Oryzias latipes: one gene and its partner. Each later gene encodes a partner of the first gene's protein in a complex. Links are inferred from orthologs where the notes say so. Each region holds a gene or a part of one and is shown on either strand. Other genes may lie near its edges. The genes, in order: llgl1 and partitioning defective 6 homolog alpha.

The links.
Region 2: the proteins of llgl1 (region 1) and partitioning defective 6 homolog alpha are in contact, whole or in part, in a cryo-EM structure (PDB 8R3Y), measured with the Homo sapiens proteins. The link is inferred for Oryzias latipes from reciprocal best matches to the Homo sapiens genes LLGL1 and PARD6A. Residues at the interface, in NP_004131.4 of Homo sapiens: Lys657, Leu660, Arg665, Thr704, Pro705, Val706, Gln707, Arg708, Arg709, Ile710, Glu711, Pro712, Arg713, Met785, His786, Glu831, Thr850, Ala851, His852, Glu853, Gly854, Cys855, Arg856, Leu884, Lys906; in NP_058644.1 of Homo sapiens: His163, Leu169, Phe171, Tyr172, Ile173, Arg174, Asp175, Ser195, Arg196, Ile221, Lys226, Thr227, Leu228, Asp229, Gln230, Thr232, Asp233, Met234, Met235, Val236, Ala237, Ser239, His240.

The regions. Positions count from the first base shown.
Region 1 is NC_019866.2:18,056,405-18,060,225, forward strand, and holds part of llgl1 (lethal(2) giant larvae protein homolog 1), read left to right. Parts: intron 1-338; coding exon 339-493; intron 494-578; coding exon 579-799; intron 800-2,775; coding exon 2,776-2,843; intron 2,844-3,206; coding exon 3,207-3,399; intron 3,400-3,821. UniProt on the Homo sapiens protein: Cortical cytoskeleton protein found in a complex involved in maintaining cell polarity and epithelial integrity. Involved in the regulation of mitotic spindle orientation, proliferation, differentiation and tissue organization of neuroepithelial cells.
Region 2 is NC_019864.2:4,763,490-4,767,310, forward strand, and holds part of partitioning defective 6 homolog alpha, read left to right. Parts: intron 1-1,142; coding exon 1,143-1,365; intron 1,366-3,821. UniProt on the Homo sapiens protein: Adapter protein involved in asymmetrical cell division and cell polarization processes. Probably involved in the formation of epithelial tight junctions.

The DNA of each region.
Region 1 (3,821 bases):
GTATATGTGATGTAGAGCAATGTTCTGCATCACATATACAATCTTTTTCTAACAGCATTTTTTTTTTATTCACTACAATTTGAATAAAAAAAATAACATTTTGAGCTTAATTTCCTGTATATATGTCTTCCATCGTCAGGAAAAGGCCAGAAGAATGTTAATAACACCATTTTCACCAAAGTGGGTCTTTAAATAAACTTTGTCTGAGATTGTACCCATTATCCTCTGCTCTGAGAAACAGATTTGCTTAAGTTTACAAATATCTGGAATACAATTGGATCAGTTTGAATAGAAAAGACTGAATACCTCTGCAAATAGGGTCCTCTGCTTCTCTCTAGTTCCCCGGTGATCTTATATAGTGGAGGAATGCCACGAGCCAGCTATGGAGACCGTCACTGTCTAACCATCCAGCAGGACAAAGAGCATGTCACTCTGGACTTCACATCTCGAGTGATCGATTTCTTTACTGTCCACAACATGGACAACGACAAAGGTAAGAATCCAAGCAGATATAAATCCTTTCACTTTTATTCTGTTTTGGATCTTAAATGTCCTGCCTTCTGTCTTCCCGCCCTCAGAGTTTGACGACCCATCGGCTCTCGTTGTGCTTCTGGAGGAGGAGCTGGTTGTGATTGACCTGCTGACCCCCGGTTGGCCCTCGCTGCCCACTCCTTACCTCGCTCCCCTTCACTCGTCAGCTATCACGTGCTCCTGTCACGTCACAAACGTCTCCACCAAGCTGTGGGAGCGGCTGATCAACGCCGGCAAAGCACAACAGAGCCGGCGCCACACACACAGAGTGAGAACAGCCAAAGGAACGTCTATCAGCCAAAGTCAGGATTAGTTTGTAAATCGGTTTAAACAGGTATTCAGTTTCCTCTTTACAATGCAAGAGGCTTAACATTTTTAAACACAGTATGGTTTGTGACCTTTCTGCTTCTATACATTCTTCTTATGTAAGTCAACTAACAAATCATTTATTTTTAGATAGAACTAGAATCCAAAAGAACTGCTTTCAATCCATGAACTGGTTGATCTGAGTTTCTCAGCTTCTTAAAATGAAGCCACATTAACGTGACCTGAGGGTTTGAATTTATAGCGCAGATGTAAGTTGTCTGAATACTACCAAGTCTTTAAGCTTACGTCAACTGTTTGATTAGACACAGATTACACACAAACCGCTGCTACATTCATAAGTTCCATTCAATTTTATTTATATAGCCCAAAATCACAGTTGTTTTGACGGGGTTGACACCAATAATTGTTCAAAAACATAAAATCAGTCATAAAATATGAACATTAGCTAATTGCTAAACTAAACTAACTAAAACGTGTTATTCTTCTCCCAGCGTGGAGTGCGTCTGAAATGTTGACCTACTCTCCAAATTGCATCTCTCTGTGCTCTAGTAATATTCCTTGATGATCCCGACCAATAACAAAAACTTCTTAAAAAACAAAGCCATGTCCCAAGACGTTTCCCAGGAAGCCTTTTCTGAAGCCCTCAGGCCATTAAATTACACTCCAATACGCCTTGCCCTGATTGTCGGTCACAATCAGGGCAAGGCATCCTACTGCTTGAAACGCGAGGCCACCTCAAGTTTTTTACAGAGTCTTGGGGACCTTACGTAGGACCAGAGGACCAAAGAGGACGACTGGAGATGTGGTACCAAGAGTTAGGAAACATAATTAGGGGCCTGCTCATTAAGAGCTCTACGAATCAAAACTAAAATTGTAAAATCAATCCTAAAATGGATAGAATGAAAAGCATTTAAAACTGATGAAATGAGCCCTTTTTACTGGTTCCTGTTAAAAGCTTTCAAGCAGCATTTAGTACCAACAGTTGAATTAATCAAAACAAGCAAAAAGAGAAATAACAGTAATCTAAACAATATTAGATACAAGCATGAATTACAATAATGCAAGTCATCTTTAGTTCCCAATTTACTTAGTTTAGACCTGTTAATTAGGTGATAAAAATGATTTTTGAAAGACATTAATTGGTCAAATATTAGACCACGGTTTTTGATATCTACACAAGGTAGGCTTGCACAAGGAGCCCAGAGTGCCTAAGTGGTGTTTAGTAAAGAGGATGACCTCTGTGACGTAGGTTGATTAGAGATGATGGTAATTTTTTTTTCTTTTTGTTTTTTTCTCTCTGTATATTCAACTCTGTTTGGCTCAAATTAATTTATATGGTACTTTAAAATTACAGCAGTCAAATAAGGCGCCATTCTTAAACGTTTAAAAGTAAAAGGTTAATACAATTGAAAGGGGGAAAAGAATATCGGTAAGTGCCATATTGGTTTTGAGAAGTTTTTCAAAATTGGCGAGTTAGTATGTTAGCCGAATAATAAATCCTGGGGATTCTATGATTCACTTTTCCCATGATTCCGTTAAAATCTCGATTTTTGGGTCACAGTTTTGTTTCCGTTCGATATACGAGTTCTGTAAGACAAAACATTAAAAAAGTCAGTAAAATTATTTTTCACATTGCCTAATAAGCAAGTGACAATGAAGAGAAACGTTTCAATTGTTATGAAACAACATTAAATGTATTAACTTTAGCACAACACGTGTTTGACACTTTCATTATAAACTTGTGCAAACGAATGCAGTAGAGAGGCAACAATTCACTTTTCCTACAATTTGGTTCAATGGCGTAAAAAGTAGGCTTCAAGAATTGCGGCATCCGTAGTAAATATTAGCCGAAAATTGGTTTAGTCGCACGTAAATTTCTCCTGCTGCTTATAAAATCCCTAATTTCTGTTTGTCTAGAAATGGCCAATATGTGGAGGGAAGAACCTGGCACCCCCACCCAGACAACAGGAGCTGCTGCTGACAGGGTTGGTCCGCACACACGCTCACTCATCTTAGCCGCTTAGACCCTACGTTTCTGTTCGAAATCAAATTTTTTTGAAGAAATTTGAAGCTCCAAAAGTAAAAAAGACTTTTTTCACACAAACATATTCGTCATTTGATGTGGTGATGGACTAGATTACAATTAAGTGCAGACGTTTGAGATCATTTTGTCAAATAGTTTAACCTCTGCTATTTTGAAAAAATCTTATTTATTTTTTTAAATTGAAAGTAGCACTGATCTATTAGATGAGAAACCTCAAACATGAGACCTTTACCAAAATCAGATATTGAGGCAGATCTGCTGAGTCATGACTGGACAGTCCGGGGCTAAAATCTGCTTCTTGCAGGCACGAGGACGGCACTGTTCGTTTCTGGGACGCCTCAGGTGTTGCTCTGACTCCACTGTACAAACTCAGCACGGCCAACGTCTTCCACACAGACGGCGACCCGATCGATGATCCCCACGACCCCTGCGATGACCCAGAAATGCAGCAGCAGCAGGAGGAGGAGGAGGAGGAGGAGTGGCCTCCCTTTAGGAAGGTAAACAGTCGAGTTCTCCTTCCGCAGTTCAGGCGTGTTTGACTCCCTGCTGGGATGAATCCTGAAACGCCTCAGACGGTTTTCATGTGTTTGAATCTCAAACAAGCCCACTTTATTGTTCTCATTATTTAAACTTGAAACTGAATAAACTGCCTTGTAATTCTCCTTTCATTTTTTTTTTTTACATGGAGAGTTTTTATTTTAAAGCAAGCCGATAAAGTCAGACCGAGCAAACTGGTTTCAGCAAAGACAAAGAAACGGAACCAAATGAATGATGTCCAGCAGATTTTTATGGCTTGTTTTCATATTTCCTTCATCCTCCTCTTCACACTCGACGCTCCGCCTTACCCTCCTAACTCGCACATATACATGTTGTGTATCCTGTGGTAACAGAGCTGCGTGTTCAGGAATGTGGGATGAAG
Region 2 (3,821 bases), on another chromosome or scaffold:
TCAGGAAATCTCAGGAAGAGGCACAGCTAACAGCCATTGATAACCATTAACCATTGAAATCCATGATATTGAATCACAATTAATCATATTAGCATATAATAAACTAGCTAACAAGTTCAAGATCTGAAATAACCTCTAAATTCATCCAAATCGTATCCAAAATTAAACAACCATTGTTTCTTGATTTTATCATCCCTTCCAGGCTTCCATACATGTCTGTCTCATTGCTGTCTGCTGATTTCAGCAGCTGGAAATGGAACAAACATTCAGATTTCTATTAAAAAAACTGCACCCCAGCACCCAGTTCCCCCCCACCCCCATCTGCTGCCCTCTGATTGGTTGACAGGCCTGTCATTCTTCAAAATGAAGCCTTAGATTTGGAGGGAAAACCGACAGTAGTTTGACAGAAATCAAAGATTCAATAAATAGGAAAGACTTGTTTCCTGAAAAATTATTCAGATTCTATTTTGAGGACTTTTCAAATGTTGTAAATAACAAATATTTCTTTATGCCTGCTATAAAAAAGGGTAAAATTCACACTTTGTAACAAATAAGTTCAAAGACGACACAGCTGTCCTGGATATTATTATAATCAAAGCTTAAAAAGACTGATCAGGTTTACTTTTCTATAATCCACTTTAGCACAGCTGCATATTATAAGTTTCTTACCAATTCAAATATTATTCCTGTATTTTCGTAGAATGAAAGTTATTTATTTTTACCATCAATGCTTTGTAATTTGGGGGCTTTTAGGGCAGAAAAAAAAGCAGTTTCTTCTGTGTTCCTGGAACATTTAGGAAGACAGAGCAGATCATGTGTCTTCTAATGCTTTGCAGTAATTCTGCATGTCTGATCCTACGTCCTGGTCAGTCCTATTCATAAAACATCTTAGAGTTGTGAAGAAATGCTCAGTTGAAGCCTCAGTGGGAAAAGAAGCCATAATAGAGCATAGATGGGGATGGTTTGCATTTATTTCTTAGGCTGGTTAGTCAGAGAAATCAGACCGACGCGTGAACGCAGCATCAGTCAGGTTCTATAACTGCACCAAAGCAGTGGATCTACTGTTGGTTGAAGCAGTGACTTCATCTGAACTAATCACTGTCAGTGTTTGACCTTTACCTGATGCTCCTCTTCCTCGGCAGTTTGACGCAGAATATCGCCGGTTTGGTTTGAAGAGGAGTGGACCGGGAAACTTCCAGGAGTTCTACCGCTTCCTCCAGAACATCCACCACATCCGTGGGATGGATGTGCTGCTGGGCTACGCAGACATCCACGGGGACCTCCTGCCCATCAACAACGACGAGAACTTCTACAAAGCTGTGTCCTCTGCCAATCCACTGCTGCGGATTGTCATATCCAAGAAAGGTAAGAACTCTGGGAAGGTGGGAACCCCCATACCCAGAATGCAGCAGCAGAGGAAGAACGAGTCCACACAAACAGGTCAAATCTGCAGGTTCCTGGTGTCACTAACATCAGAGGTTGAAACTTCTAGTGCCACAGAATGACAAAAACTGCTCCCGTAGAAATGTAAGGATTGAAAGCCAGTTTCACCAAAAGAAAACCAGAATCGGTTTTGGTTCTTCTGGTCCATTTCAGAAGCTGCAGAGCTGCTCCCGTCTTTGCAAACAGATTTTTTTTTACCACAGCTGTATTTAGGGATCTACCTGCTGGAGAAGCTCTCATCTTAAGTTAATCACACATGTGTGTCACATAGCAGCCAGGACTGACGCTCAATAAGTTCTTTATTGTGTAAATAAATGGTTAAAACTATATATATATCACTGTATTTTACATACCTGTAGCGCTTTACTATCTTTTTAGAAGGCCCAGAGCGCTGTACAGTCACAGTCCCATTCATACATTGATGACGGCTCCACTGCTAAACTCTGGCACCATCCAATAACCACCAGGAGCAATGGGGGGCTCAGTGCCTTGCCCAAGGACACTTCAACACATGGGTGGGCAGGAAGGGAACCAAACCTGTGATCTTCCTAAAAGGAGTCGATGAAGTTAAAGTGAATTTCTTTTTTTTTTTTAAGTTGGAAGTGAACTTATATCTTGTTTTTAGAATGTCTAGTAAATCCACCCCACAGTTTTAATGGAGCCCATGTCCTGGATTAAGTGCATCACAATAGTAAACTCTGGACGTCTTATAATTAAGTTCTACCCCACAGACATTTAAAAAGGGATCCCGTGTTTTCTGCAGCAGGATCTATTGGGATGGCTGGAAATGTTGTCTTGAATGTTGTTTTTGCTGAGCAGAAGTCCCGGTCTGTCTCCTCCCAGAGCTACACCTACTGTAGCTCTGTTTTCATCAACAAGGCAATTTTAGCTTCATAAACTGTGGACAGTTGCATCTATATCTGTTTCTGTGTTTAGGTCTCAAAGGTTTAGTAAAAAGGTTTTTACCAAATTTTAAACTAGCCAGGAGGAGAAGAAAAGACCCCCGTCACATCACTGAGCTGGGATGTAAAGCGCTAATAAAGTCAGGACTTCTAAAGGGGTAAAGCTAAGGAGCAGATTCACACAGCACTGATTTCTGCTTTCAGCTGCTGAGTCTGTGAGGTTTAAATCCAGCTTCTGCAGGTCTTTGAGAAGGTTTAGGAGAAACCAGTCTGCTGTGGATGACATCATTACACAGCTATTCACATTCAGCCAGAAGGTCTCATAGCTGTCAAGGTAGATGTTTTTAGACTGTTCTAAATAAAGTCTGCGCATTCCAAGAATGTGGTTTATCCACATGGTATGAAGTATGGAATGAAGGTGAGGATGGTGGCCTGCATGCAAACACAGTGAGTTCAATGGTCTCTATAGAAGTGGACAGAGCCGGTGTGACGTCACCTGATGCTTTACCTCCAGCTCTGTCACCATGTTGAAGCCAAATGACAGTAATGGGTCTGAGTCAATGTTTCTATAGCAACTACTGGTGCCAATCACAAGTATGTTTGTTAAAAGCCCCCACCTCATCTGTTTGATCAAGCAGATGAGGTGTGGGCCAGTGTACATCTGTTTGGATGGTGGGAGGAAGCTGGAGTCCCCCCACATGCTAACTCCACACAGAAGGGCCCCCCATTGGTGTTCTGGTTCAGTTGGGACTTGAACCAGGGGCCTCCTTGCTGTGAGGCAAGCGGGCTAACCACTGCACCACCATGCAGCCCTTAAAAACATATAATGGGGAAAAAATATAGGATTATGTAGCAAGAATGTCTATTGTGACCAATAGAATGACAGAGTAACAGCTGTTTCTGCATCTCTCTATAGAGGTCTATAGGATTCTGGCTTATTGCAGCCAGCGGGTACTTCCTGTTTGGAACACGCGGGGGGAGGAGTACCTCAGTCCAGCTCTCTATATACAGTCACCTTGGGGTAAACAAAGGTCAGGTTTTTGCTTCACTGTCGACCTCTTCATTACCTCTGGGGCTCCCAGCCTAAGCGCTGCAGGCCACGCCCCTCGTGGTTACAGCTCTCTGTTGTTCTGGACTCGTGGCTCGGTTGTTTGCGTTGACGAGGAGAAGCCTTGCTTGTTTCAGGGATGCTGCATATAAACAGAACAGGAAGTAGCCACCGTTTATATTAGTTATATAATTCACTCATGGATCGGATAAGCACTTTGTTTTCCCCCTGAGAGGAAAACCTTTGCTGATGAGAGTCACGTTTGCTGTCGGCTTCCAGCTGTTTATTGAGGAGCTGCTGTTCAGTGAAGGACCAGAGACACTCAGGAACATGACACCCATCCACACCAGGAGCACAGACACATTTGTAGACTTCTGCACACAGACATTTGTCTGTGTGTTGGGTTTTTTCCGGGGGGGGGGGCATGG